4 linked regions of the Lepisosteus oculatus genome follow. The protein of the gene in region 2 interacts with the protein of the main gene of each other region in a pairwise test. Links are inferred from orthologs where the notes say so. Each region holds a gene or a part of one and is shown on either strand. Other genes may lie near its edges. The genes, in order: aquaporin FA-CHIP, microtubule-associated tumor suppressor candidate 2-like, histone acetyltransferase KAT5 and zinc finger C2HC domain-containing protein 1C.

The links.
Region 1: the proteins of microtubule-associated tumor suppressor candidate 2-like (region 2) and aquaporin FA-CHIP interact in binary tests that used the Homo sapiens proteins (3 or more experiments, as listed by UniProt). The two-hybrid records come from large-scale screens. The link is inferred for Lepisosteus oculatus from reciprocal best matches to the Homo sapiens genes MTUS2 and AQP1.
Region 3: the proteins of microtubule-associated tumor suppressor candidate 2-like (region 2) and histone acetyltransferase KAT5 interact in binary tests that used the Homo sapiens proteins (3 or more experiments, as listed by UniProt). The two-hybrid records come from large-scale screens. The link is inferred for Lepisosteus oculatus from reciprocal best matches to the Homo sapiens genes MTUS2 and KAT5.
Region 4: the proteins of microtubule-associated tumor suppressor candidate 2-like (region 2) and zinc finger C2HC domain-containing protein 1C interact in binary tests that used the Homo sapiens proteins (3 or more experiments, as listed by UniProt). The two-hybrid records come from large-scale screens. The link is inferred for Lepisosteus oculatus from reciprocal best matches to the Homo sapiens genes MTUS2 and ZC2HC1C.

Annotation. Positions count from the first base shown.
Region 1 is NC_090701.1:33,148,904-33,155,961, reverse strand, and holds the start of aquaporin FA-CHIP, read right to left. Parts: upstream 3,012-7,058; 5' UTR 2,965-3,011; coding exon 2,602-2,964; intron 971-2,601; coding exon 809-970; intron 134-808; coding exon 53-133; intron 1-52. UniProt on the Homo sapiens protein: Forms a water channel that facilitates the transport of water across cell membranes, playing a crucial role in water homeostasis in various tissues.
Region 2 is NC_090700.1:17,556,044-17,563,723, forward strand, and holds the start of microtubule-associated tumor suppressor candidate 2-like, read right to left. Parts: upstream 3,019-7,680; 5' UTR 2,837-3,018; intron 1,873-2,836; exon of another isoform or gene 1,697-1,872; intron 1-1,696. UniProt on the Homo sapiens protein: Binds microtubules. Together with MAPRE1 may target the microtubule depolymerase KIF2C to the plus-end of microtubules. May regulate the dynamics of microtubules at their growing distal tip.
Region 3 is NC_090713.1:22,611,403-22,618,688, reverse strand, and holds the start of histone acetyltransferase KAT5, read right to left. Parts: upstream 3,014-7,286; 5' UTR 2,959-3,013; coding exon 2,941-2,958; intron 2,822-2,940; coding exon 2,755-2,821; intron 2,101-2,754; coding exon 2,032-2,100; intron 1,589-2,031; coding exon 1,452-1,588; intron 873-1,451; coding exon 804-872; intron 1-803. Other genes in the region: kinesin light chain 2, read right to left, coding at 6,555-6,638, 7,002-7,059. UniProt on the Homo sapiens protein: Catalytic subunit of the NuA4 histone acetyltransferase complex, a multiprotein complex involved in transcriptional activation of select genes principally by acetylation of nucleosomal histones H2A and H4.
Region 4 is NC_090703.1:8,490,379-8,497,760, forward strand, and holds the start of zinc finger C2HC domain-containing protein 1C, read right to left. Parts: upstream 3,023-7,382; 5' UTR 2,546-3,022; intron 1,949-2,545; 5' UTR 1,864-1,948; coding exon 391-1,863; intron 1-390. Other genes in the region: acyp1 (acylphosphatase-1), read left to right, coding at 3,234-3,278, 3,645-3,737, 4,700-4,918; DNA mismatch repair protein Mlh3, read left to right, coding at 6,339-7,382.

The sequences.
Region 1 (7,058 bases), on a different chromosome or scaffold from region 2:
AGTGCTAATTTAAGGTTCCATTATTTGTTTTTAAATTTCACATTCCACCTACCCAGTGGTCTTTGAAGTTAGACGTAATCAGAGCAGGGCCAAAGGATCGAGCTGGGTTCATTCCACATCCAGTATAACTGATCTGGGGAGAAAACCACAGATTTGCATGGGATTGCAATGGTATTTTCTAATTATCCAAATGACAAATTAATACGTGATATCTTACCAGCTGTGCAGGAGAAAACACTCACTGACACAAAAATAAAGTAAAGTGGTTATTATAGGATCTATTTTTTTATAATTAAGCCATGTTTTTTTTTTCCTGAAATGTTCAAATACTAGCAGAAACGTACCAAAGGTCACTTTCAGAATTGTTTTTTTGCTTCAAAACTATTTTTAAAAAATCTAAAAGAAAAAGTGTTTCACAGAATTCTAGATCTAAAATAGCAAGCATTTACTGAGGAAAGTGGGTGAAGTTTAAATTTATTCTGTAAATTCATCATTTGAAAAACATTACTGCTGGCAGCAGAGCAAATTTAGAAAGTGTTTGCAATTGCTCAGACTGCAACACTAAAAGGGTATTGTATCTAACTCTACCGGGGCTTTTAATTTCAATCTCTGCCTCTGACTCAATCCATTTTGCACCAACTGCTTACATACATTTGCATACTGTAGATCAAGTCAGCTGTTAAATTAAATTGGAACTGGCTAGTCATCACCAGTGATTTTTTCCACTCTATGGTGTACATTATATTTCAGTCAATTTCTAAGTGACTTACAGAAGTGAATACTAAGAATTCATGTTTTAATGACGTACAGCAGCAAGGTGCCCAAAGGCCACAGAGAGACCAATGGCAAGGGGTGCTGAGCCAGTGACATCATGCCGTCTCTTATCTGTTGTTGCTATAACACACAGGACCAGTTGAAAGGTGACAAGAAGCTCTATTCCAACACCTTGACTGGAGGTTACATTGTTTAGCTGTAAAAGAAAGACAGATACACATTTTAAAGGTTGAGAAAAAAATAATGATTCTTGTCATCTCTGGATAAAAGATTGTTTACTTTTAAACTACCTGTGAACATTATATCAACAAATCACATATTATTAGGTATCATAAGAAGGTAACAAAGGTGACAAGGAAGAGAAGGCCATCTAGTCTATCTGGTTGCTGATAACTAATTGATCTGAGTATCTTATGCAGGTTTTTTTTTAAGATGTGTGGTTTCAACAACATACTATAGCTGAGTTGCTTTCTCCACACTCCTGCATTTGTTTGAAGTGTCTAAATAAGAATATTAATCATACACTGATTACAGGATTTTTTTAAAGATGGAATAATCAAAGTATTGATACCCCACTAAATGACACTTTTGGACAGTTTTATTTTAGAACTGATACAGTAATGGTCAATAAGTACAATAAGAGACTGAAAGTGCACTACTTACAATAAATCTAAGTCAGAATATTTCTGTTTCTCACTAGGGACTTTATGTAACTATACATTTTTTTATTTATCTCAGTACATCATTTTTTAAACTTGATTCTCCTCCCAAATTTTATTTTACTGGTAAAAGCAGTTATAAATGCTTCATTGAAAAAGAACTCTGATGTAAAATATGTAACTTCCTTGATGAACCTTTGAATCCAATGGTATTCTGGTTAGTAGCAGTTGAACTACTAAAATTTCTTTTAATATTTTTCCATGTGTTAAACTTCAATATCCACTTTATTTCAACAGTTGAGCTCAAGACAATTTAAAAAAGTCATGCAAAAACGTCCATTATTTACCTTCCATTAATTACAATTAGAGATTAACTCAAGAAAGATCTGGGATATCAAATCTATATGGGATATGTTATCCGAAAATGCTGATGTGTCTTACAGTTTTAAATGAATTTAGTGAGTGATGTAATTTAATTAAGAAACACAAACTAGTGAACAGACCACTAGAGGTCATCATAAACTACTAAACCACTGCTCATTATCCTGATTGTTTTTGTTGGAATATGTACTATACGGTGTTACATTTTTTATTCTTTAGCTAAGAGCTTCTCAACTTTTTTATTATATCACACTAAGGTCACCAAATCGTCCAGGTAAAATATGTAATCTGTCTCCTTGTTCTTTTATATTATACATGTAATATTATTTGTATGTATTATTAAATCAGTTATTCTGTGTCATAGCAATGAACTATAAACAATACATTTAGCACATGTTTAGTATCTAATTTAAATTATAAAATAATTTGTAAAGAAGACCATGAGGCACATGCCACATGTTTCCAGAAAAAAAAAATAGTATTCTGAACATAAATTATGTCACTGTGTGGTTTTACTTGTGCTGTCCTTCTCATTACCTTAATTCACATTCAGGTTCTATTTCTCTGTGCATAAAACACATGGATGAAATCAGGTGGTGTTATGATTATCCAATGCATTTGCATAAAACACACACTCAAACATCTGTGCACAAAATAGGTAAAAGAGAATAAAATATGAATATTTACCTACTTTGTCTAATTAAATTATAGTGAATTAGCAACAGTTGCATACACTCTTTAAAGAAAGTTTTTAAACTTTTTTCTAGAAGCAAGAAAAAACACTCACTGAATTCACTCCCAGTACATCAGTTCCATTCGGCCTGACTCCGTACACAATTCCACTTGCCATCGATGCCCCCAGTAGTTGTGCAATGATGTACATAACAGCCTTGAAGACACTGATCTGGCAACTTGCCAGCATGCCAAAAGTCACTGCAGGATTCAAGTGGGCTCCACTTATGTGGCCCAAACTTTGAGCTAAAGTGGCTATAGCTAACCCAAAGGCTAGTGACACTTTTACCTCTTGGTCAGGACTGGAAGCTTTAGGTTGCCCTACAGCAGCTGATATACTAAGAGAAATAAAGAGAGTAATGCCTATTAGTTCAGCCAGCACTCCCTTCCAAAATGCCTTGCTCTTGAATTCTCTCATCTTGACTGAGGCTTTGCTGGTCTGATGTGGTATCTACAGACACAGAGACGTTCTGGAGAATTTATAGAGTTCAGTTCATAGTGGGAGGAGGGGGTGTTGCAAAGAAAATCAAAAGCATGCAGAATTAGTGAGACCTCAAGAGCTTTCACAGTTGTTCCACCTCTTTTTCATAGGAAGTCTTTATTCATCGAAATAGCTTTTTCTAGAAAATGTTTTATACAAGTTGTTGCTAAGACATATCATTGGTGGTAAATTCCTTAAAATTGTGTGTTGAATATCACAGAACATTAAATATTTAATATTGTTTCAATTTTATTGCAGTTAAAGGAGTAAATTGGTAAAAAGGGAAAATACAGCATAAGGTTTTGATATGTTGTAAGAAAGTTTCTCCTTCATTCTCTTTGATTGTCGTGGCAACTCCTGAACAATTGGGGAAGCAAAAGAACTGCAGTTGTTATTTTGTCTAATCATTTGCATCACAAAGTGAACCTTTTTTCTATGGAGAAAAATTCTGCTCAGAAGAGAAAAGTGAAATCTAAATACAAAACAAACAACTTAAGGAGTTATTTAATGAGACTGCATCTGATCAGAGTTTTCTTGTTCTTATGTACTAATAATGGTCAAACAAATGGGGTTTTAAAAGTATCACATAAGCAATATACAGTATTATAAACAAGTGTACAAAAACAAGGCATGTTGATTAATTCACTTAATCCCATATGTTCACACATTTTCATTCAGGATAAATACACTTACATGAATTTAAAAATCCTGAAATTATAGTACAGTACATATATATTTGATGTGAAGCTTTTATCATACATTTGACTATATTCATAGAAATTTTACTAAAATACGTCTTTCCTAGTAGAAAACTCAAATTATTCAATTGTAAAATGCATAGTTTTAGAATCCTTATAACAATACGTTTTTATACATAGTCCACAAACATGGCAAAGGTAGTACGCAGTCCAATGACTGTAAAAGACTTTATACATTTTTACTATTTTCATTCAAATGAATCCTTACTACCAAATAATCATAATTATATTATTTGTGACTTTAAAATTCAGTCTTTTTTCTATGCACCAGACCTCCCTGTTTGCTTTTTTATCGAGTCTCCATATTGTCTTGATGTGGACATATGGGAATTTACATGTACTGTACACATCTTCTGCAAAGATTACTGCTACTCAGAATCAACCATGCTACAGTACATGTATCGTGTATGTTCCTACTTTCAATATGGATCACTTTGCTTTTTAATGCAAAGATGCATATTAATTATTTGCCAGAAGTCTCAAGACAAAACTCTCTTTGTAACTCCCTTGCTGATTTGATTTTGTTTGCCACTCCCCAATTATTTTTCTATCATGTACACTACAAAATGTACTTGTTAACTGTAATACAAAGTAGTTGTTATAGATCACATAGAGCAGTGGGCCTAAAATGGGTCCCAGCACACCACTGCTTATTTCAGACCAATTACTGTTTGTGCTCTATAAAAATGATGTACTATTTCCTGTTTTCTAACCTGTTTTTGATTGTGTGCATTAACAAGTTTGGATTTGTGTGGTTTTAAATTTGAAAACCAATATTCTCTGATGTCGTTTGTTTGAGCATTTTAGCAAGATAGTTAAATAAGACATTCCATTTATAAGCCCATTCTATTGACTACTAGATTATGGCAATAGTCCTATCTAGTATTGTTATGTACTGCAACTCTATCATTTGCATTTCACTTTAGCATTAACATTAGTCTTATTGCTCTATTGTTTCCTGGATCATTTACCCTACTCATTATGAACTGAAGACATTTATAGTTCTCCAATCTGTGGACACTGCTCCCATTCAAGTGAGAGTTAAAATATCACATTTTGGAGTCTATGAAAACAGACTTCAATTCTTTTAAATGACTGGGAAAATTCTAGTGATTTACTGTAGGGTCAAGATCAGTTGTGCTTAATTTACACAATATTGCTGGAGCTTGTTATATAACATTGGATATCTCTGTGAATTTAAATGTAACATATTACATATACAATTATTAACTTTACTTACTACTATATTTCCCTACGGGATTAATAAAATATTATCTATCTAAAACACTACTCAATCATCATTGTTTTAATGTTATAGTACTGAGTGAAATGCTTTGTATTGTTTTTAATTGTGCTACAATATTCTGTTCTCTCTCATGGTAATTCTTTTGTATTTTTTCTAGCAACTAGCTATAGCAACTAGTTAGTAGCAACTAACTATAATATCAAACTGTAGACATTTTAGCATACTATGATTGTTTTAAGTGATTAGGTTGATAAGAGTATCTTCCCTGGTTGGTGCTTTTACAAAGTATTCATTGACATTTTAACCATATTAGTTTGAGCTGCTGTATTTCCATAACAATATTAAATGCATATGAAGAAAACTGAAATCACTCAGTAATATGATTCCATCTTTGCTACATACTGTACATTCCTAACTAATACAGTATATTATACAGTAAACTGCTTGCATCCATGTCTGTATTAGCTTGTCTTTGGCATATAACAGTTGTTTTGTTCTTAGAATTTCTTTTCTGCAGTTTAACCCAAATATGTTATATACACATGTATTTTCTTTCTTCAGCTTTCTTGCTTGAAGTTTTTTAGGAGTCTTTGTCTCCTGCCTCAAAATGTGCAGCTATTTATATTCATTCATGCTGTAAGAAAACCGGCTCAGGGACTTAAATATGTAATCACAGTGGCTTTCTGAAGACACCAGTTCTGTAGGGTTTGGGCATTTACTGAGACAATTATTAATTGTAGCAGTAAATCACAAACTTGATTCTTTTGATGGCTTTAGAATCCAACCATGCGACATAACTCAAACAATGCACACACACAGGTACTAGTACACGAGGATACATTTATTAATACATAGAATATGCATATAAACCTAACATATCTTATCGAGAGGGTTATCAGAATACAAAAGGTATATATTCAGTCAGTTACAAAGAGTTACACATATCAAGAGGACATACGGTCAGTATATCATTCATTAAGATCGTTTCATAAATGAACTTGGTTATAACTTCTACATTAGATACTCAAAACAAGTACATAACTCTTAGGAATTAAATTGATATCAACTGGTTGGGATAACAATTGAATTCTCGAGCTGTAATGCATTGAAGTTGAATACTCATCCAATTTCTGGGGATTCAGATCTCCTGCGGGCACAAAGAAACAGTTGCAGGCTGTTGCTTGTCCAATCCAGGCTTTCTGGCTCCGTGCCAGGCTGTGCTGTGCGGCTTGCGACGGTGTGCTGCAGATGCTCACTGACCGGCTAGTTAGCAAAGTTTGTGCACAGGAGAAAAGATGACTGTGGGTCCCAGCAAGTCAGGAAGAGGACCAGTTCGTTCCTGATGAAGAGCTAGTTCTGAATAGTGATTCAGCTGTCCACAGTTCCGACCTGTTCACGAGGCCTGATGCTGGTTACTCTCTGGCAACCTCCACTCGAGACTCTTATAACAAAGGAAAGTTCTGGCACTCGGACACACTGGCCGTTCCGTGGTTGTCCGGGCTGAGTCTCAGGATGGTCAGGAGGCGCGCTGCGAGAATGTCCTGCCCTTGGGAGCCTTCTGCTCCTGGGCCGTCCTGCCCTGGAATTCTCCTTTGAATTCCCTTTAGAACAGTCCACAGAATCCTCTCCAGAATCTTACTGAATCTCACTGAATCTCACAGGCTCTCTGTGTTGCCTGTTTTTACCTGGAGGAACTTCAGCTCGTTGATTGCCTAAAAGTTCCATGGGCATCAGAGTCCCACGTGGGTTACTCGGCCCTACCAGTCCCTGATTGGTTGATCAAGGTGAGATATGAGTCACTTACTCCTGACACTTAGTAATGCAGTCCAGATGTCCAACTGGCACTCCCTAGACAGATAGGCGCCAATGGATGACCATTGATCATGATAGCCAGGCTTAGCTAAGTGCATCCCCCTTTGGGAGCTGTCCTTATCAAAGGAACCCTAAATCAGCTTGCATGAATAGTTTCTCTGTGGCTGCACCACAGAGATGAACAGAGAAATGGGGCCTCATTTGGGAAGGTTCAG
Region 2 (7,680 bases):
AACCATTGGGAACTGTGATCATGTTCTGATTTCTAAAAAAAACAGAGCGGATACAAAAATAAAAAACAGTGAAGATCAGATGGGATGGGCATCACCACTATATAGCACTCTGGCCCATTTTACAGGTATTAGGTGGTGCAAGCGATTGTGCAAATGCAGCGCAGAGGGCAGAGTGGTGGCACTGTGGTTAAGGATCTGCACCTGAGGCTGGAAGATTGCTGGTTCAAATCCCGCAGCCGGCAGAGGAATCCTACTTTGTTGGGCCCCTGACCAAGGCCCTTGATCCCAACTACCCCAGGTGTCATGGCTGACCCTGCACTCTGACCCCAGGCTTCTCTCTCCCTCTCTGTAATCCTCATAGAGAGCAGGCTGGGGTATGCAAAAAGACAAATTCCTAATGCAAGAAATTGTATAGGGCTTAATAAAGTGATCTGGGTCAGATAAAACAATTATTTTTCACAGACCTGAAGAACAAAAATCAAACCCTCAACTCAATGAAAAAAAACAAACAAACAAACAAACAAATACATTGTGGTAATATAACCCTGTTTTTAATTTCACCAATGCTATATACTGCAAAAAGATACTTTTACATGTACTGAGTTGTCCTCAATTAACACTCTACACTTTGCCAAAGAATTAAAGTAATTATCTAAAAGATAGACCAATAAACAGTATTAAAAGCTCCTGTACTGCTCTGAAGACTGAAATTTACATTTAACACAAAAAATATTACTTTCAAGAAACACCTTAAAATTGTATAAATTATGTATTACAGCTAATATGAACATTTAATAATAATAATTTTTGCTTACACTTATATACTGTACCGCTTTTCTGGACACTCCACTCAAGGCGCTTTACAGGTAATGGGGACTCCCCTCCACCACCACCAATGTGCAGCACCCACCTGGATGATATTTAAACTAATGCCCTTGTTAAGAGAAAAGGTCTTGCACAAGCTGTATGAAACCTCCTCCTTGAGAAACATTTAAGGTGAAAACTAAAAGATAATGTGAGGTATTTTTGTCTTAACTGACTTTAGTCCGCATCAGCATAAAATAAGAAATGCATTCTCAGCTTAAATGGGAAATGAGACAATCCTGCTCAGATACAGGCTACAGTAAGTCCAAAATTACAGTAAACATACACAGACTACTTTAAGTCAAGACTTTGACCAACTTCAAATATTTTCAATGACAGTTTAAAATTGAATAAAAGCTTGTAGGTTTTGTTAACCAAAAAGTAACCATCAGGCACTCAACGTGATATTGCGGATGGAAGGTAAAAACAAAGCGGTTAATTTAAGATGCTGTTTTAAATACATTGATTATTCTAAACAATTTCAGTTTCACATAGGCACAATTGAAATGAACCGATTTCTCTGAAATAAGTATGAGACAGAAAAATACATAGGAACCAAAATAGAGGAAGTCTTTAAAATGGTGCCTGGTTGCTAAATCCGGTTTTCTTTTTTTAGGAAGAATCACAGCGGCCCAATGTGTATAGCCTTTGCGAAAAGAGTTTTTAAATTTTTCACTAATGAATTACATTCCACATTTATTGTCCAAAAGTCATCATTACCGTTGTATTATTTATGGAACTAATATTGAGTGACAGCTGTTTAACGCTACCTTCAAGATGTACTGAAGCTCCTGAGCCCCAATAATGAGCAAGGCTCGCTTAATTCCTCTACCTGAATGGAGTTTCAAGCTGTATCATTTCTTCTCTTCCCTGGCGCACTTAATGTCTAACCCACATTTTCAATTTAAACACCATCGCATTCAGGAAGCAATTTAAAGGTTTTTGTTTTGTTTAATACTGTTTGCCCTGGACAGTTTGTAAACTATTATAAAGACATTGTTATAAAACTGAAGAGTTTATAATACAAAGGAAACCACTGCAAAACAATCTACAACCCGTAGTTCCGACGACTGAGAGAACAAGCTTAAAATAGCTCTGCAGTTAATATAGTATTGCAGCAAATTCCTCCTTATGTTTACTGTTACACAACACTGTCACTGGCGCACCAAGAGCACATTTTCTGACCATATAGAGCACTGCGTTGAGAGGTGAAGAACAGCAGCACACTTAACGTCAGGCGCAAAATGTGTACAGCATGACTGCATAATTAAACTCTAACAACAAAAACAACATAGTACAGAGCACTGTATGTGTGTTTATGGAGAGGAAAACCAATGTAGCCCACAAATTACATGCAAATGTGTTATACGTTTATAATTGCACTCATTTCTGGACCTTTCACTTCGTCTCAAAGACCACGCTTGCAGATTCGCTCACACTCTCAGGTATCACTGCAAAGACGTAAATAGATCAAGCTTACGTGGTCAATACCAAAGGTGTCGCTTCCAGAGATCTTACAGTTAGCTCAGCAAAGGGCTTTTACTTGTGGCACCGACTACAGTCAGTGTGTTTTATTTAAAAACCACGTTTAATTTTTTTAACACTTTCCTCGACGTGAAGCCTTTTTGTCCTGTAAAAAAGCTCTAATTGTTGTGCGCCAGCGTCACAACTAGTTTTAATCTAATTGAACTGAAAATACGCCCACCAAATACAGCATACACAAAAACAGTATATAAGGAAGTTGCCATAAACACATTTGTTCCTTTGAATGTCAGCGAAGGCAATTTTGTCACCGGACAGCACAGCAGTTGCATTCTTCATCTAGGTGGGGTGCTATTTTTTTTTTTTGCAATGCAGGCAAAAATATAACGTAGCAAGTCGATGCTGAATATAATAACCTTTTCCATACACAGATGCACCGCCTGTACCTCTGCTTTGTGCATCTTCTCGCCCGGAAACTAACAGTGCATACCTGTTATTTTGATTCCGTTTTCCCGTGGAAATGCTGAGCATCCGCCTCCTCGTGCTTTACCAGGTACTAACCACCATCCTGAACGCAACGAAGAAAACGGTTGGGGGTGAGATAGACGGTGCAGAATGTTTCTCTCCTCTCCTCTCCTCCTGAAGCAATCTGGATCTTTTCCCCTGGAGAACCCATGCTTTTCAGAAAGCCGAAGGCTCCACCTGCTGGCAAAGAACAGGAAGGTGCAACATCCATAGGTGCACAACAGCGTCAGAGAGGTTGAGAAGAATTTTTTTATCGGCTAAAGTTAGAAAATATAAAAGACGTTTTTTTTTTCTTTTTTTAAGGGAGTTCTAACTACAGTTCAACAATCGTGATTTGTTCTTGGTCTTTGTACGAAGACGAAGGTTTCTTATATCCATTGGTTTTGTGTTTGATTAGTTTGGTTGTCTTGTGAGATGAAATTATCAACTATTTTAGTTCTTTTAGATTGGTTATTTGCGATTTAATTACTTGCGAGATGGCTTTAATCGTGAATGGTGCCTTTATACAATGAGAAAAAAAACTGACTGCAATACTAGTGCTTCGGCACAAATCTGAACAAGTAAAATACATACTCTATAATAGAGATTTCTAACATGGATCTTGGTCCCAATTCAGCACCTTTTGTAGGTCACCATTACTTTGTGTCTTAATATATGAAACGATTTCATTGTGATCAAACAGGTGACTTGTCAAAGTAAGTAATTTACAGATCATTTAAGACTAAAGTCTAAGTACTCTCTAGCCTTCAAGGACCTTAGATTGTATTAATTCAACAGATTACCTGCTTTCATTCATCAAATGTTTACAGGTGTTTTCAGCCTTTTCAACCAGGTGAAAGATAAGACTAGGTCACAGACCCCTGGTTTAACTGAATGTGTGGAGCTGTACAAAAATATAAATATAATGTCTCAGTATCTGGGGCACTTAGTACATCAGAGTTCTCAGTCCTGATTCTGGGGGAGTGCTGTCTTCTGTTTTTTTTTCTCCGTAATCTTAATGGTAAACTTATTTATTCCAAATGTAGGTGTTTTTATTTTATTGTACCTCATAAAGGCTTATGGTTCAGAATTGATATCAACCCTGTGCCAACCCCTAAGACTCAGAATTCCCCTCATTCTGGTGCATTAGCCAAAATGTAACCAATGGGATTTAAGCCAAAGGAAAATGAAATACTTGCTATGGGAATGTCTGATATATTACCATTCCCATCTGGCTGTTCATTATAACATGACTGTCAGTTAAGAGCTTTTTAACCTAAATAAGTGAACAAATTCATAATTAGCATGTTGAAGAGAGACTATATGAAATTCTGTATGCCAAAGTTGTTGAAAATAATACAGTACATTAACGGGATTTTTTTTAAACTGACGAGCGTGGAAAAGGCGTAAATAAGCAAGCAGATCAATTAGCACCAGTGAGTAAAGGCCTAGTTGGAGCAATAACCACCAGATGCTGTTGTCCCTTAGGATCAGCATGGGGAACCACTGCTCTAAAGTAACAATACAGACAAATTATCTTATTTGAAAGATGTACGTTCCTCAGTCTCTAAAATGACTCACACGAGTAATATAGCAGTATAAGTGGAGCGAGCTTTGCTGATAGGGAAAAAAAGACAACCAAGTGCTTTTGAAATTCTTGACACAAGGAATACAAGGCTGTGGACAACAAATTGGAGAATAACTGTACTATACAACTACTGCCCACCATACCATGACCAGTATGTTGTCACACACCCTAGGGATGTGTGCTTAGTCCATTGCTCTACTCCCTCTACACCCACGACTGTAAGGACAAACATAACACCAACTCTATCTCATCAAGTTTGCCGATGACATCACAGTTGTAGGTCTGATCACAGACAATGATGAGAGGGCCTACAGGGAGGAGGTCAATCTCCTTATAACGTGGTGTGAAGACAACAACCTCACCCTCAAGGTCAGCAAAACCAAGGAGTGGAAAGGGTCAATAACTTCAAATTCCTTGGCGTCCATATCACTGAGGACCTCACATGGTCTCTCAACGCCACTTGTCTGATCAAGAAAGCACAACAGCGCCTGTACTTCCTAAGATGGTTGAAGAAGCCCTAAGATATGTCCCCAGATCCTCACTAACTTTTACAGATGCACTACAGAAAGCACACTGACAGGTTGCATCACTGTGTGGTATGGCAACTGCAGTATTGCTGACCGCAAATCCCTACAGCAGGTGGTGAAAACTGCCCAATGCATCGCTGGGGTTGCCCTCCCATCCATCCAGGACATTTATGACAGATGGTGCTTGAGGAAAGCTCTAAGCATCATCAAAGACCCCACACACCCCAGCTACAGACTGTCTGACCCTCTAACATCTGGAAAACGGTACCGGAGCATTCAGGCCTGGATTACCAGACTCACAGTTTTTACCCCCGCACTATCAAACTATTAAACTCCCAGCCACCCTCACCTACGATCTGAACCCTCACAGTGCCTTCTCTCTTTGTCGGATCTCAAACACACATTGAAATCTACCTCTACCTCACATGTCAAGAAGTTCACTCCCCATAATTTTCTATCCTTTATTTTGTTCTGTTGATGTATGATTTTGCACAACTGATGTTGTTTTTCACATTACCTGTTTCCTGTTGTTGTGTTGCACATTGCCTTTTGTCTCTGTCTTTCTTTTCTTATTCAATTGTATTGTTGTTTTTTTGTGCTACTTACCGTCTGAGAGCTAGCTAATTAGCATTTCATTATACCATATACCTGTGTATCAGTATAATGACAACAATCTTGAACTTGAACTTGATTTTGGACCAGTTGTAGACAGCGAGAGGCAATGGACTGGACCTGAGGCCTTGGCAGTATGGTGTCCTTGCCACCTCTGCCAGATAAGCAGTGTATGCTGCTGAAAGTGCCTGAGTGTGGTTAAGATGCCCCATCGACAAGGACACACAAAACTCCTTGTGTAGCACGCTCTCCAGTCTCCACTGCTGGCTCAGACACACCGAGGGCTGAGATGGTAGGACATCCACTCGCTCCACCAACAGTTTCTTAACAGGGCCTTTGTTGTCCGCATTGGGACAGTGTAAAGATGTTCTACTACTTGACACAAGAAGGGCGTGCTTTGTCCTCTTCAAGGAGGTGCATACAGGATGTCATCCAAAACATCTGCATGAAAGGGCCAGGGTCAAGCATGGAGAATGTCCAGTTTGGCAAAGGTAAGTGGAAGTTTCTGCAGAGCCTCAAGCCAAGGCAAGTGAATAGTGGCAGCTTGGAAGCTTTCCTCCAAGGAGCATTGCCTGTGAGGTTTTTAAAGACAAGTGGATCAAAGGCAGGCAGGTGGGAGGAAACTGCTCACACTTTCTCATCCTCCCTTGTGTGAGGTTGCTGGGTTCATAGCTGTAGGCTGAGACATTAAAAAACAACAAATGACAATTCCAAAAAAATCACGTGCGTATAACAAAAAAAATTGGAAAGATTACAAAATCCCACTCCCACAAGACAGAGGTTTGAAATGTGAATACCAAACACTTTTCATTTCAAGGCTTATTGTATGTTTGACCAACTGGATGAAAAGCAAGTTCTCGCCTGTGTCTCTAGCACAGCAATAACACTGATATTTCCAGATGGCACTCTGAAGGGGTCTTGGGCCCCAGCTGTGTGGGGGGAAATTAGAAATGCGTCCGCAATTAGGACATCAATTTTTTTTAAAAAGCATACATTTTCATTGCAACTCACTGTTAATGTAGTACAGTTCATCCCTTACAAATCTCAAACAGTTTATGAGAACAGCGAACTTAAAATAGACTCCTTTGGATCTGTAGACGCTGAGATTTGTTCCAGGGTTAAAAGGTGAGACGTGACAGTGTAACCTTCTGCACCCATTAGTGTCAGTCGTACTAAGTCTTTTCTTTGTTGTAGCCATGCATCATGATTTATTATACACCTCCATATTTCAGAGTACTTTTTTATTACAGAATTATATTTAATTTACGTATCAAATCAGAGATTGTATGAATTACATACTAAAAGTAGAAATAAAACAAAACAAAAAAAACAAACTAATTAACATATGAAATTGAATAACATATGAATAGTTTTATATACTTAGCAGACTCCTACTAATATTGTCCTAGTCCAAAGTGTCAAACAAAGGAGGCTTTATATCTTAAATTGGTTTTAATTTAATAGCTCTCAACTTACCTGTACAACAGAAAAGTTGCTCATTAAAATAATTTGGGGGGATAAATTAAAGGAAAGGGTAAATTCATTCTAATATTTTAGTTATTTCCTTCCAAAATCTTTAAAACCTTAGGATATGTAAAAAACATGTGAGAAAAATTACGTTGTATTACCACATCTCCAGTAATTGTATTTTTGTAATTTCATCTGAAAAACTTTCTGGAAGTAAAATATATCCTATGCATTAATTTGAATTGAATAGATTTTTTTTTTATTTGGAGACCAAAACTTCACATTTCTACAAATGTGAATCCATGCTTTCCTGTCTCTTTTTTATTAAAGTTCTGAGCTGAAAAATATTTTCATTGAAAATCATTGTCTGATGTTTTTATGTAATACATACAGACTTCAATTTAGATATTTGAGATAGAAGGGGGTTTTCAAGAAGAGTGTAATTCATTTTTAAATACACTGTCTTGTTAGTTTCAGAACAGCATCTGTAAGTTTGAAGTACATTTTTGATTGATCATTTGGAAATGAGGAATGTTTCTTGAGATGTCTCCATGATATTACACCTTTATTCATTACTAGGTCACCAACTTGTAAAAACCCCACTCTGTAATGGTTTATTGTGATTTGCATAGGATT
Region 3 (7,286 bases), on a different chromosome or scaffold from region 2:
GGGTCAGTGCTGGGGGTCAGACTGCACTGGGATGTCCAGTGGGGACAGTGCTGGGGGTCACAGTGCAATGGGGTGTCCAGTGGGGACAGTGCTGGGGGTCTCACTGCACTGGGGTGTCCAGTGGGGACAGTGCTGGGGGTCTCACTGCACTGGGGTGTCCAGTGGGGACAGTGCTGGGGGTCACAGTGCAATGGGGTGTCCAGTGGGGACAGTGCTGGGGGTAGAAGTACAGTGTGTATTTATGTGAATGTATTATAAGCAAAAGTACAGTTCAATCACATAACACACACCTGCAGGAAAAGCATTCTAGAGTATTTACACAAAGATTTACATTCAAGAACTGCGTCAGACTCGGACAGACCACAGCTTTCTGGCAGGTCATCTGTCACACAAGGGAGAGACTCGGGTCAGAGATGACAACTGCCAGAATGCAGTGGTCTAGTGTCCAGCAGGTCCAGAGCAGGAGATCGGATCGCATCCGCGTGCCAGAACCCAGCGCCCCTCCCTCCGATCAAACCGGTCCCAATATCCGCGCTGCTCCAAATCCAACTCAGGATTCCCGCGGTCCCAGAAGTTAGAAACCTTGGAGAAGGGTTTGACTGACGTAGCTCGGGCGCGACTGGACCGGTCTATCGGCTTGACCACGGGAAAACCGGATCAGGAAATCCGGACTCCGATTCCGTTCCCGGGTTCTGGCACGAGCGGATCGATTCCGTCTCACGTGGCCCCGCTACCGATCTCCGATCTCCCCTCGCCCCTCGCTCCTCCCTCCCGGTGCCTGCGGAAGACGGGTGAAGGTGTACCGGAATGGGGACAGTTTTGCCTCTGGATGGAGCTGTGACCGTTTGGAGGCTGTGATCTAGACTCTTCCTCTGAATTTGAATAGAAAAGGGTGTTATTGACAGCGAAAGACAGTTCAACCTCCTTCTCTGCGCGCCTGTGGTCCTTACTGCATTTCTGCGGCTGCACTGACCCAGGTGAGCTCAGCGGCGCCGGGTCCGCGGCCCGGAGGCCGGACCCAGGTGAGCTCAGCCACACCCCGGTGCACGGCTGGTTTTGTGCAGTCATAAAAATGCAGTAAAAAAAGAGGGTTCACAACGCTGTAATAATCAAGCAGAAGACCGACATGCACAACATCTAGAAGATCAGCACCAGCACAGGTCTGCAGGAACAGGAAAGAGCATGGGACAGCCCGGCGTCACTTCGGGAGCCATCCCGACAGAGTTCCTTCTTCCCGGGGAGGCTAGAGAAAAAGGCAGCATTGGAGACGATTTCCAGAGGCCGAGCCCAGCCTGGTCCTGGGAGCGAGAGGGAGCCGTGCTGAACCGGTGGTCCTCGGGGGCTGTCCGGTCTGAGGCTCACTGGGGCCGAGCTTCAGGCTCAGAAAGAACGGCGGCGTTGGGGGGGGGGGGTCAGTCGCTCTCCAGCAGCTCGGAGCCGTGAGCTCTTACCACGTCTCTCTCCGGGGAGCTGGGCCGCGAGCCCGGCAGGCCGTTCTTGGTGGGCGTCTTGGCCTCCTTTTTGGGGAACTGGAGCTTCTTCAGGTCCAGCCTGTCGGGCGTCACCCACTCGTCCAGGCGCTTGTTGACTGAGGGGAAAAAGAAAAAGCGATCAGTCCGGACCCAGGAACCAGACACCAGAGCTTTCCCGGTGAACAACGACATCACGTCCAGGGTGCACGGCGGGTTCCCTGACCCCAAAAAGGGATCTGTCTGACCCAGCGGGCTTTTTCAGAACCAACAGGGAAAACGCAAACCAGAAGAAGCTATAGGGAAGAGCATCTCAAACCGAGAACGGGAGGCACTCCTTTACACAAAGCCTGGTGGAGGAGTGGAACAAGCCTGTTGTTGAAACAGGTATTCTGGCTCCTACCAAGAAACAGCTGGATGAGATTCCGAGATCAATTAGTGACTAACTAGAGATTGGCTGATTGGCTCCTCTCGTCTGTGACCAGTCTTGTTATTTCTCAAGAACACAGGGCGTTAACAGTCTGTAGTACATCCAGCAGGCGACGGGCGAAACGGTACTCACAGTCGATGTAGTGAACATAGTAGAGCTTGCGGCTGTTGATCTCCTTCAGGCTCAGGATCTCGGCCAGGGCTGCCAGGAGGACAGAGGCAGAGGTGTCAGCACCCAGCAAGAGCTTCCGCCCACCGCGCCAGGGAGCTGCCCGATCCCAGGCAGGACCCCACGACCCCTCCCCGGACAGGACCCCAGCCCACTCGGGGCTCCAGGCAGGACCCCAACAGCCCACCCTGGACAGGAGCCCCTACAGGGGGACAATTACAGGCAGCAGTTTCCTCACCCAGCATGGCAGGAGTGAAGAGACTAGGACACCCAGAGAAAAGCCATAAGCACATGGGGGGGGGGGGGAGACCGTGCACACTCCACACAGAAGGTGCACCAGCCTGCAACTGAACCCAGGTCCACACAGCTGCGAGGTGGCTCTTCTTGCAACCCACGCCGGAATAAAAAGCATCCAACATAATCAGCCCGCCTCCAGCGGCGGGACAGCAGCGCCGTGCACCGCCCGCACCCGAGAGCGCAGAGGGCGCGTCTACTCCGGTGCACTCAGTGCGAGCTCCCGCAGCGCATTTCTCCAGAGTGCAACATCTACAGCATCGCGTTACAGAGGCAAGCGCGCAGGTTCAGGTTGCATTTCCCGCTGACAGTGTATTAAAATCAGATATAGGAGCGCAAACAATGCTCTAAATGTCAATATTGTATCCGCCATGACAGCTGCCCGTTACTCACGCCACTCGTCCTCGTTCTCCTGGTTTTTCCTCAAAACCGGCAGCCGACAGCCCTCCACGATCTCCATCTGTTAGGAGGAACGGGACAAAGAAGGGTTTACGTTTCTGGAAAGGTAGAAAGAAAAGTCCCGCACACAGTTTTTAATCATAAAAAAATAATCGAGGACCATCACGGTTATTTACTCACATTCGCTGAATCCGCCATCTTGCTCCGCTGAGCACAACAAGGCCCAGGGGCGACGGAAGTACGCAACCGACGTGTCCGCGGCTCAGGCTAATGACGCCATCGCCACTCCAGCCAATCAGCGTCCGAGGAATAGGTGAGGTTCCGGCCCAGAGGCTGGGGCTCGCATTGGACGCCTTGGAGGAAATTATGATATTTAAAAACATAATCAATGGCATCTGATTCCCAATCTTTGAAAATCTAGGTGATCTTGACTTTCTATTGAAGTGGAATTTAATATATGAACATAATTTCTCATCACATACGAACTATGTGTGGAATAACTCAGCAGGGTGAGCCTGGCCAGTACCTGGAGGGGGAGACTCCTGGGAGAGCTGAGGCTGCTGCTGGGAGAGGTGTGAGTGGGACCAGTAGGGGGTGCTCACCCTGCGGTCTGTGTGGGGCCCCAGTACAGGAACGGGGACACTATACTGTAAAAAAGGCACCATCCTTCAGCTGAGACATAAAACCGAGGTCCTGACTCTCTGGTCATTAACAATCCCAGGGTGTTTCTTGAGAACAGTAGGGGTGTTACCCCAGCGTCCTGGCCAGATTTCCCCCTGGTCTTTACCCATCCTAAGATGGAAATGCAACTCCAGTCATAATTTGAAAAATAACAAGGCAAAAACGTAAACTTGTGCTCTGATCTGCAATAACCTGATACAGCACCCTGCCAGAATAAAATGAGCAGCCACGTTATGCCCCTGCCCATGCACACGGAACCAGGGCCCTGCAGTCATTTGCAATTATTAGTTGCAACTCACACCTGACGGAGGCTCCCCGTCCGAAACGTTGCATTTTCTTTCTTCTCTCTTCAGCCTGGAATAAACCTATTATTGTTCCTAATTACTTACAGTAGATAAGTAAGTGACAGTGAAGTGCTTTGGTTTGTGTCCTCTTTGCGTACAATGAAGAGAACGGAGGACCCCCCTGCACACAACAACCCAGTCAGCGCCGCGGCCCCACGGCCCGAGGGTCCTGGGTTCGAGTCCACCTCGTGTACCTTCCCGGTGGAGTTTGCAGGTTCTCCCGCTTTCCCGAGGTGTGCTTCTGCTAGACTCCACCGCCGCCAGCGCCCTCCGGTGGGCAGACAGCTCACAGAAATAAAAGCACGGACACACAGAAGAGCCAGGACTCGGGCGTCGTTTTGGAAAAGTGGATTTTTAATGAATCTTTCATTCGAACGTACATTGTGGCTTGGATATTACAGGCCCTCCACTCACAGTACAATGTATCCCTACATTCCTACCAGTGTAACACAGAAATGATATTCCATTCTCTCGCAGGATCGTCTCTCCAGTCACAGCCTAGATACCCGTCCCCTATAGCACAGGCCACAGGCTCTAGTCCCGTCCAGTCCCCTATAGCACAGGCCACAGGCTCTAGCCCCGTCCAGTCCCCTATAGCACAGGCCACAGGCTCTAGTCCCGTCCCGTCCCCTATAGCACAGGCCACAGGCTCTAGTCCCGTCCCGTCCCCTATAGCACAGGCCACAGGCTCTAGTCCCGTCCCGTCCCCTATAGCACAGGCCACAGGGTCTAGTCCCGTCCCGTCCCCTATAGCCCAGGCCACAGGCTCTAGTCCCGTCCAGTCCCCTATAGCCCAGGCCACAGGCTCTAGTCCAGTCCCGTCCCCTATAGCCCAGGCCACATCATAACGACTCACAGGTCCTCACACACCCTATATCTCTGTCCCCTAAAACTACCTCCTCAAAGTATTCTATTGCCCTGCCCCCCTAAACCTACCCCCACACACACCCTATAGCCCTGCTCTCTAAAACTACTCCCACACCCCCCCGTCTTATGGTGTCCCCACTCCTCCAATCCACCAGTGGCAGCCCCCCAGTAACAGGTCTCCCCAACTTTCTATTCTACCCTGCTGCCAGAAACAGCTCCTTGTGAAACTGGTCATTTGTAGGGTCACATTGCTAATGTGGGGTTCAGACAGTGGGGCAGGAACCAAGTCACAGCAGACCATGCACGTGGAAAGGAAAGTGGGGGTACACAGCATCCCCTTCGTCAACAATGCAATGCGATTGTGCCACCTGAAGGGGTGCACTTCTGGGCCACCAGGGGGCAGCCCGAGTGTGCAGGGGTGCGCGTTGGTGCCAGAGCAGACGAGCCAACAAACAGCAGGATACAGGCGGCAGGCATGAGCCTTGTCCAGTGTCCATCACCGGTGAGTGTCAGCACATAGCACTGACCCCACTGGACACCTCAGGGCAGTGTGACCCCCAGCACTGACCCCACTGGACACCCCAGTGCAGTGTAATCCGCAGCCCTGACCCCACTATACACCTCAGTACAGAGTGTCCCCCAGCCCTGACCCCCCTGGACACCTCGGTACAGTGTGACCCCCAGCACAGTCCCCCCTGGACACCTTGGTCACCATGGTAACAGAGACACTCTCCCATCACCACCTCCCTGATGACAGGGATGCAAGGACACCATCCCTTGTTGCCACGGTGACTAGACATAGCCTCAAGGATAGAAGAATGCTGGTGGGGGGTGTAGGTGATGTAGAGATGATGGAGATACACTGCCCTGCCAGAATAAAATGAGCAGCCACGGCCATACACTGGCACCCTCACAGCAGGGCTCGACCATTAGTTACCATCAGTAAAGAAGTGTAGGGCACCTGGCACCCCCAGCCATCCACACACAGACAGAAGGAAGCAGGACCACCCCCCCTCCCCCCCACACACAAACACCATAGCCAGACCCCGCGCCAGTAGCCCCTAAACTTCACCTGTGCTCTGTGCGAGAGAAGCAGTCAGCCAGCTCTGTAAGCCAATAATTTAGACCCTTATATACAGACACAGAGCCAGAGCGGACAGAGGCCTCCCCACAGAACCCCCCCCCAGCGCTTCTGACCTGACCCCCCAGCGCTTCTGACCTGACCCCCCAGCGCTAACCCCCCCCAACACTTCTGACCTGACCCCCCAGCGCTAACCCCCCCCCCCAACACTTCTGACCTGACCCCCCGGCGCCCCACCCCTTCAGTAAAGATGAATATTCTACACCTAGACGTGCCCTGCGCTAACGTGGCGAGTTACAGAAACAGGCGCTGAGCATTCACGAGAGCTGCATGCCTCGGGCGAGCCGAGAGTCTTGAGAGGAGCGAGGCCGAGCGCGTCCGCCGGGGGGCCGGTCCGCCACACCACGGCAAAGAGGCGCCCCGGGCGTCCCGACTCCCCCCTTCCACCAGAGGGCTCCCGGCGAAGACGCTCGACCTCTCCCTTTGGAAAGCGGCATGCGGGATAATTTCTGTTAATTTAGAGAACAGTTCGTTTATTCACCCCCCCACCCCCCACCCCGATGGCCAGTTCAGCAAACATCTTGAACTGCTGGAGTACGCTACACCCTGTCCCGCCCCGCGATAAAGTAAAGGCTTCTTCGTGGCAAAGGCAAATTCTTATCTCCCCCCCAAAAAATTAAATGCGCTCAGAATTTTGGTTTGCATGTCTCAGGAATTTCCAATCAGGCAGGAAACAGGGCAGCCCCTCCTGGTGCTGAACGGGAGGAGGGGGGGGGTCCTTCCTTAACACCACCCCCCCCCCCCCACTTCGGGGCTCAACTTCATCCAATCAGAGAGCTGCGTCTTGAGAGGTCAACGTTGCTGGCGCTCAGTCCCCTGGATTCCGATAGGCCAGCGTTAGGCTGCTGCAAAATCAGACAATAGCCGTAAGATTATTCGATGGATACTGACAGAGACGGCAGCACAGACGCACTGAACCGAAGTGATACACTGGCACACACACACAGAGACACAGAGTGGCACCCAGCAAAATGCACTGACTCACGCATGGAATGCCACCCTGACGCGCACGCAGACGCGCACGCAGACACGTACACAGACGACAGGCGCACACAGACAACGACTGGCCCCCAAGCCAGCAGGGACACACTGAGTGGCACGCAGACACGCACACACACAGACGCACACAGATGACGACTGGGCCCCAAGCCAGCAGGGACACACTGAGAAGCACGCAGACGTGCCGACCGGCGGCTCCGAGCTCGAACCTGTGCAGGGTCTTCGGCGGTCTTGTTGAGGAAGTTGAGAGAGCTCGCCCGCTTCATCCTGCGGACGAACACAGGGGGGGGGGAGGGCACAGATCTCACAGACTGGCCAGCGGAGCAGAACAGGGCTCTGGAAAGCCACGCTACAGCCCGAGTCCGGTTCTGTAGAGCCCCACACTGTAACCCCAGCCTGAGCCCGGTACTGTAGAGCCCCAAGCTCTAACCCCAGCCCGAGCCCAGTACTGTAACCCCAGCCCGAGCCCGGTACTGTAGAACCCCAAACTCTAA
Region 4 (7,382 bases), on a different chromosome or scaffold from region 2:
TATCATATGAGCTAGAGAGGCCCAATGGCCTCCTCTCATTTCCTAGGTTTTCCTTGAGTTCTTATGTCAGGGGTTTTCAGCCTTTTCTGGTTGGGGGACACTTTTTCAATAAATCCCTTCTTGTAAGGAACCCAAATTTATGCATAAGCAACTGTTTGCCAAAATGGTGCTATTTGTTACTATGATTTAAAAGCCAAACCTGCTGGTGAACAGACCCACTGTGTAAGGTTTTACACACTACTAGACTGCCTGGGGAAAACCTCTGATTCCTGGAACCCCTTTGCCACACTCGGAGGATCTTTAAGGGCTGCTTTATGTTCTGGATTGGGTAACAATCATATTCACACATTCGTTTTATTTGTGGGAAGGAATTCTAAAGTCACTTCCTACCTCTGGCGTTGTACTTTTCTTCTTTAAGTTGATGTATTGCTCCAGGTCGGTTCCCTTGGCTCTGTGCTTGGAAGAGTCAAACACCTTCCGGCGGGAATTCTGCATTTTCTCACAGACTCTACGGTGTTTCTCCAATCTTTCTGCTGCAAATGTCCTGTTGCAGAGCGTGCAGGGCAACAGCTGCGAGTTCCCTTCCTGATTGTACGTCGGTCTCTGCTCCGCCTGGGGTGCTTCTTCGACAGAGAGTGGAAAACGTCTTGGTGATAAGTCTCCGCTCCCCTGAGGCAGCCTTTCTTCAGCACAATTTCCATTGCTCATTTCATAGCTTGCTTGTGGAATGCGGCTGTCCAGAGGAATTGGTTCGGCATGCTTCCCTCGATTCCTGACGTGTGTTTCATATCTGTAGGGCACATCCTGTGACTGGCCGGCGTTAGAGGCCTTTTCATGTTTCTTGAAGTGTGATGGAGCAGAACTTGAGTGATTGAGCAGAGATTGAGTGTGAAGCTCTGTGTTATTTTCAATAAGAGGCAGGACTTGAGTTTTTCTTCTTGCATCGACCGGTTGCTTGTCCTGAACTGAGTGTCTTGAGGAACTATAGGGCTCTGCAGGCACACCCCTGCCACTGGCACTGCCCAGGTGCCCTTTTGGAGCACCATCGTGCTGTCTCTCCTGAGCTCTCCTTTGCTGGGCCATTTTTCCTCTCTCCTCCCACTCCTCCTCTTCGTCAGAATCTTCCATCTCTATCTGAATCCTCCTCAGCTCTTCCTCGGTCCTTTTCAGTTTTGCCCTGAGCAGGAGCTCCTTCCTCCTTATCTCTTCCGCCAGGTTGGCCTCTACCTCTGCTAGTCTTCGTTGTTCCCCTTGCAGCCAGTGGAGACCACTTAAATTCACCCTGGAGGAGTTTTCATCTGGGGAGTGGGCCACATCTAGAGGGGATGTCTTATCCCTGGGGATTCGTGCTCTAGGGTGTCTCCTGTCCACTTGCAAATGACTCCCTTCTGGGTGATCTGCAGGCAGAGAAGGAGCCACTGGGATATTCCTCGGTGCTCCTATAGGCTTCACAGCCTCAACATCACCTGGACTGAAGATGTGATTGAGACTGAAGGCTTTCCTGTGGTACACAGGCTTCAGTGGGCAGGACCTATCCACCCCAGCTGTCTTCTTTCCAGGGGCAACGTGATGGAGATGGCCATTTCTGGGCAGATTCCCAGCAGATCTATGTTCCCTGTGCAGGCCAGTTCCACCCCTGTTGTTCGCCATGGTTTGCAATGCAGACTGCTGGTCGTGCTGGGAACCAATCCTGGCTTTCTGCAGCACGGCCTGCTGTTGCTGCCGGTACAGAGCGATCAGCTTCTTCTCCTTCTCCTCCCCAAGTTTCTGCTGGAAGTTGCTCTGCAGCAGCTGTAACTTGGACGGGTGCAGAGCTGGGTTCCGTCCACCGGGCCTCAGGGGTGGAAGTTTATCGGTTTGCATCTTTTTACCGAGGAAGGGGGAGCTCGAGGTCTAAGATGTGGTACCATTTGCAGAGGAGACAGGCAGGTTATTTTCTTCCAAGTGTCTGATTGGGAGTGAAATGTAATGATATTAATGTATACCTACAGTGAATACAGGAAAAGGCCTATTCTTGAAAAAACCACATACACAAAAAAAAATTATATTACATATTAAACATTTTCTTCACCTCAAACAACAATACATGCATCATACTTTTAAGAAACTATAAAAATGAGGTAGCTGTCCTTCTGGCAGAAGAACCATTTGTGTTACAATGTAATTATCCTGTTTGCAGATTCTCCTAAAGACTATAAAACGACTAAATGTTGCACACTGAGTTTTAAGCTTAAAACGCAGGCTGGATGCAACGCAAGCATTATGCCCGTTATTTTCAACTGGAAATCTATATTCAGTTTTGATCATAAATCACCCCCGTGGCCAATGAAATTCGTTTGTATTTATTTCCCAGCATCCCCGAGTGAGACGTGACACTGGTCGTTCATTCAACATTTCTTCGGCTGCAGACGTGGAAGAGGAAAAAACAACATATATTTCTGGGCAAAACCTTATAAATAATTCAGAAGTCACTGTATATGACACATTATATATTTACTTACACGACAGTCCAAAAAAACGTGCTAGTTCATCATAATTTACTCACCAAAAAACTTTCTTTGGTTTTGTCGACAGATTTCTGCTCTAATCCTTCGTCAGAGCTCTGGGGAGTTTGTCACGATCTGGCGTCCTTTGAAAAGCATGAATAAACACTTGCGTGGCAGGGTTTTCTTTCTCTCCTTAACTTTTTGGGTTTGTTCACTGGTATCTTAAACCTGCAGTTAAAACTGTTATAGAAAGCCGACTTTAAACAGCGCTTTTTACAAAAAAAAAGTAGGAGAAAATCCCCCCTCGTATGGTTTTATGAAACTTTACAGTCTCCCCTTGAAATACAGTCACCAAGCCTGCAAAGGCACAGAGAGTGACGAGTTTTTCCCCGAGCTAAAGTGATGCCCTTCACAACATCACCCCCAGCGTCACAGTAGGCGAGCCCTTTGTCCTCGCAGGTCGGTCATCAGAGGGTATTCTCCGGTAAGAGTTTAACAATAGGGTTTGTTGGCATGCGTTGCCTGGAAACCGGGAGACGCCACGGGGTTCCTTGGCATCGTAACATTCAGTTGTCAAGGGGCTCTGTTTGTGATTGGGCGCAGACAAACCACGTGGAAAGTCATCCGGAAGTTGTGAGATGCCCCGGATGTACCGGTCTGGATTAAGCCCTTCGTTTTGAAAGAGATGCGCTATACATACACACATTTGTCGTATGGGTGTTTTTAATACTGGTTAGTGATATTTTAATGTGTGTGCGTGATTTGTCTTTCGTGGTTGCTATTTATCGTAATGTGAGTATATGATGTTTCGTCTCCAATGTGCAGGGATAGCTCGGGCAAATCATGAGGCTATATCTAATGTTTAATTATGTTGGATAATAGATTGAGACATATGATGAATATGCTAGCGTTTAGTTGATCTGGGATGAAGACGAAGCTTCGGATATAATGCCCCTAATGAGCTCTGCCCCCTGATATTTAAGAGCGATATAGAATTCAAACATCCTTTTAGTTTTGAAAAAACAAGTTTGTTTTTTTTTTATTTCGAACGCAAAATGCAAAATAAAAGTTGATCTGGAAAGACTTCAGTCCACGCTGAAATATTTAAAATGTACTTCTACTGTTCCTGACGCTGTGTTTTTACATTATTTTGTCTAGGTCTCTGCCATGTCCGGTAAAGAAGATCTGATTTCAGTGGATTATGAAATCTATGGCAGAGTGCAGGGTGTTTTTTTCCGAAAGTACACTCAGGTAGAGCCCTTTCCTTTATTTGTGTGTGTTTATTTATGACTAATACCAGCTTCTCAATTATAGAACATCTAGTTAAATTCGGCGATCGGAAACTCGGATTTCATTCGCCCACCCAACACAGGAAAATGAAAATGAGGCTTGAGGCAGCACAGGCATGATTGTCCTGGGAATGTAAAGCCCTTTAAGGATGGGTGTGACGGTGGCAATGCAGTTAACAGTGCTGCCCCACACTTCCTGAGCCCTCGGCTTGCTTCCTGCCCAGTATGCCTGTGCCCGGTTTGCATGTTCTGCCCATTGCTGGGTTTTCACCCTGGGACTCCTGTTTCCCCCCACAGTACAGATTTATCTATCCTGTCCAGATTTTTTGGAGTATGGAAATCATCCTCCGAGTTTGTGTGTATACACATACCTCCTGCTCAGGACTGGCAGCTTGTCTAGGATGTATCTGGTCTTGACCTCATTGGCTGTTCTCCAGCCCTGTCTTGGATGAAGACATTGAAAATGCGTGGACAGCTATCATTCAGTTGTGCTTCCCTATGTGGCAGTACAGTATATACTTCCTATTGGGCACTCTTAGTGAGTTGCCATAGCAACCACAGAACAGCCGTCTGCTATAAATGTGCATGTGAGATTGCAATCTCTTTGTATGCATGCTATACATATATGTTGTGTTTTGCTGTTGCTTCTCGATGACTATCATTTAAATATTTTGTGGCACATGTGGGCATTGTGTAGTGTTTGTGCCGAGCTGAGAAATTAACAGTACCCAAGTCAAAGTACAGAATGTGTACAGGATAGAACCACTCTCTTTCCCAGTTAATGAAGTAATCAGTCGCTGAGAATTAGGTATGGAACCTGGAGCTGGGTTCGACAGCCCTGGGTCTCCGTGCGCGCACAATCTCAGATCAGCCGGTCCGGTAGCAGGAGTGTGCTGTATTTCTGTGTGGCTGCCCTTCCCCCAGGCTGAGGGCAAGAGGCTGGGCTTGACAGGCTGGGTGCAGAACACCAGGGAAGGGACAGTGAGAGGCCAGCTCCAGGGACCCGGCAGCAGGGTGCGAGAGATGCAGGAGTGGCTGAGGAAGAAAGGCAGCCCCAAGTCCCAGATCGCCAAGGCGGAGTTCTCCAACGAGAAGAAAGTGGAGAGTCTGGATCACAAGGATTTCAGGATCGTCCGGCCCTAACCTCCCAAATGTGATGTGTTTTTCTGTTTTCTTTTTTATTATTATTTAAAAAAAAGGCATAAACATCTTCCTAGAATCAAGATGTTTGGTCATTTGGTTTCAAGATGTCACTGTGTTGGAATGCTTTTTTGTAAATGTACTGCAGATAACATCAGTGAAGGCTTAAACTGCTAAATACGCATACCGTCTCCAAATCTGAATCTTGTACATAAGTGCTTGAGGATGTTTTGAACATTCTACGTTCCCTCTGTGTGTTTATTAAATCCCTATTTATTTTGAAGAACCATTTGTGTACTGTTTAATTTTGTTAATATAGTTACTGAGAGGGCAGCTTAATGACGGTACTTTGTAAAAAATACGCTAGCCCTATGTTTATTTTTGAGATGTAATCATCAACTCAACAATTGGTCAATAAAATATGCATCATTACAAAATTGAGTCTTTCGAGATATTTCTCAATACGTTTATGTCCGAAACGTCAAAAACTGTTCAAATATGTTATATTATGAATTTTATTTTGGTAAGGTAAACCGTACATAAGAAATGGATACCGATAATTAAAAAAAAACCCTGAGACTCGAAATTTGTATTTCTTGCGGTAGGGGCAGCAAAGAGCTGAACACAAACGCTCGGGCCCGGATGCGGATGTGAAGACATACAAACAATACCACGCAGGATGGATTAGGATTGCTCTTGCTCTGTGAATGTTAGAAATTAGAGTGAAATTAGAGATGGCCTGCATTTCACTGTCCACGAATGCTGCTTTTAATTCGCGCATCACCATAGTAACCGGAAGCCATGGAAACGGACACTTTGGAAGGACATTCAGCTAGAAAAAAGTCAGTGTAAATTATTTTTTTAAATATGAAGAAGAACAAAGTTGAAATACGGTCTTGTCGATGTCACGGCTGAATGTCGTTTCCCCTAAGATAATTATAGCACCGTTTTTCTTCCCCCTCTTTCAAAAGTAGAGTAGTAGTTTTGAATGGTTGGATAATAGGTTTTAGCGTGCGTTTTGTCCAGCACCGTAGTGCGTAGTTTTGTTTATCAAACTCGTCAGAATGTTATTTTTTAACTTTTTTTTTAAACCGTCATTGTTAAAAGAATAGTTCCCAACATGATAAGAGGGTTGAAGCTGTCAGTCTGCGATTGTTCCCGGCGGCAGCCGGGAATCTCAAATTATAGTAGATGGCGACAGTAGAAACTGTTATGAAACGGCACCCTTGATGTAGAATGTAAAATTTATTAGACCGGGAGTTAAGTAAAATGTGTTGGAAGTATTTATTTGCAGAAAAGTCCCATTAGGACGGAGCTCCGAATTCCTCTTAAATGTGCAGAAATGTCTGACGGGCCTAGGAGCGCTTGCTGAGATAATTTTTACAGCAAAGAGGCGGTTTAGGTTTCCGATAGCGTCAGAACTATGATTAGACGTTTGTCCGAGGACGTGCAGGCGAAGCTTCGCTCTGGGATAGCCATTTTCTCACTGACGCAGTGTGTGGAGGAGCTCCTGCTCAACAGCATCGACGCTGGGGCCAGCTGCGTGGCTGTGAGAGTGGACATTGAGGCGGGAAAAGTGCAGGTTCTGGACAATGGCTCTGGGATGGACAGGCAAGACCTGGAGCAGGTGGGCAACAGGTACTTCACCAGCAAGTGCGGCTCTCTGGATGATCTGGAAGCCCTGCGGTTTTACGGATTCCGAGGGGAGGCACTGGCAAGCATAGCCGGCTTAGCCACCCTGCTGGAGGTCTCGTCAAGGACCCCAGAGTCCGTGAAGACCTTCGTGAAAGTGTTCAAGAACGGGAGGGGCTTAGATGTGTCCGAGGCAGCAACCACCCGGCCCGCAGCCGGCACGACGGTGGTGGCCTGCGACGTCTTCCACAATCTGCCCGTGAGGAGGAAAAGGCTCGACCCGGTTCTGGAATGCGAGCGGATCAGGCAGAGGATCGAAGCAGTCTCCCTCATGCACCCCTCCGTCTCCTTCTCTCTGAGAAATGACTCCACCGGATGCACGGTGCTCCAGCTCTCCAAGTCGCGGGCCACGTACTATAGGTTCACCCAGATTCACGGACTGGGCAGAGCTCAGAAGCTTGGGGAGATCAGTCATTGCCACAACCAGTTTGAAATGAGTGGCCACATAGGGCGTGAGGGTCACTACAACAACAGCATGCAGTTTCTCTACGTAAACAGCAGACTAGTCTTGAGAACGCGGATTCATAAACTCCTAAATTTCTTACTAAAGAAGGTGAGAGTTGCCAGCAGGCAGAACAGCATCCCCGTTGTGTCCATCGCTGTGCACAGTCCAAAGCAGAGGGGTGGTTCAGAGCTCCATGGGGTTTATGTCATTAATATTAAGTGCCATTATTCAGAGTACGATGTGTGCATGGAGCCTGCAAAAACACTCATTGAGTTTCGGGACTGGGATGGTGTGTTGCTCTGCGTGGAAGAAGGAGTCAAAAAGTTCCTG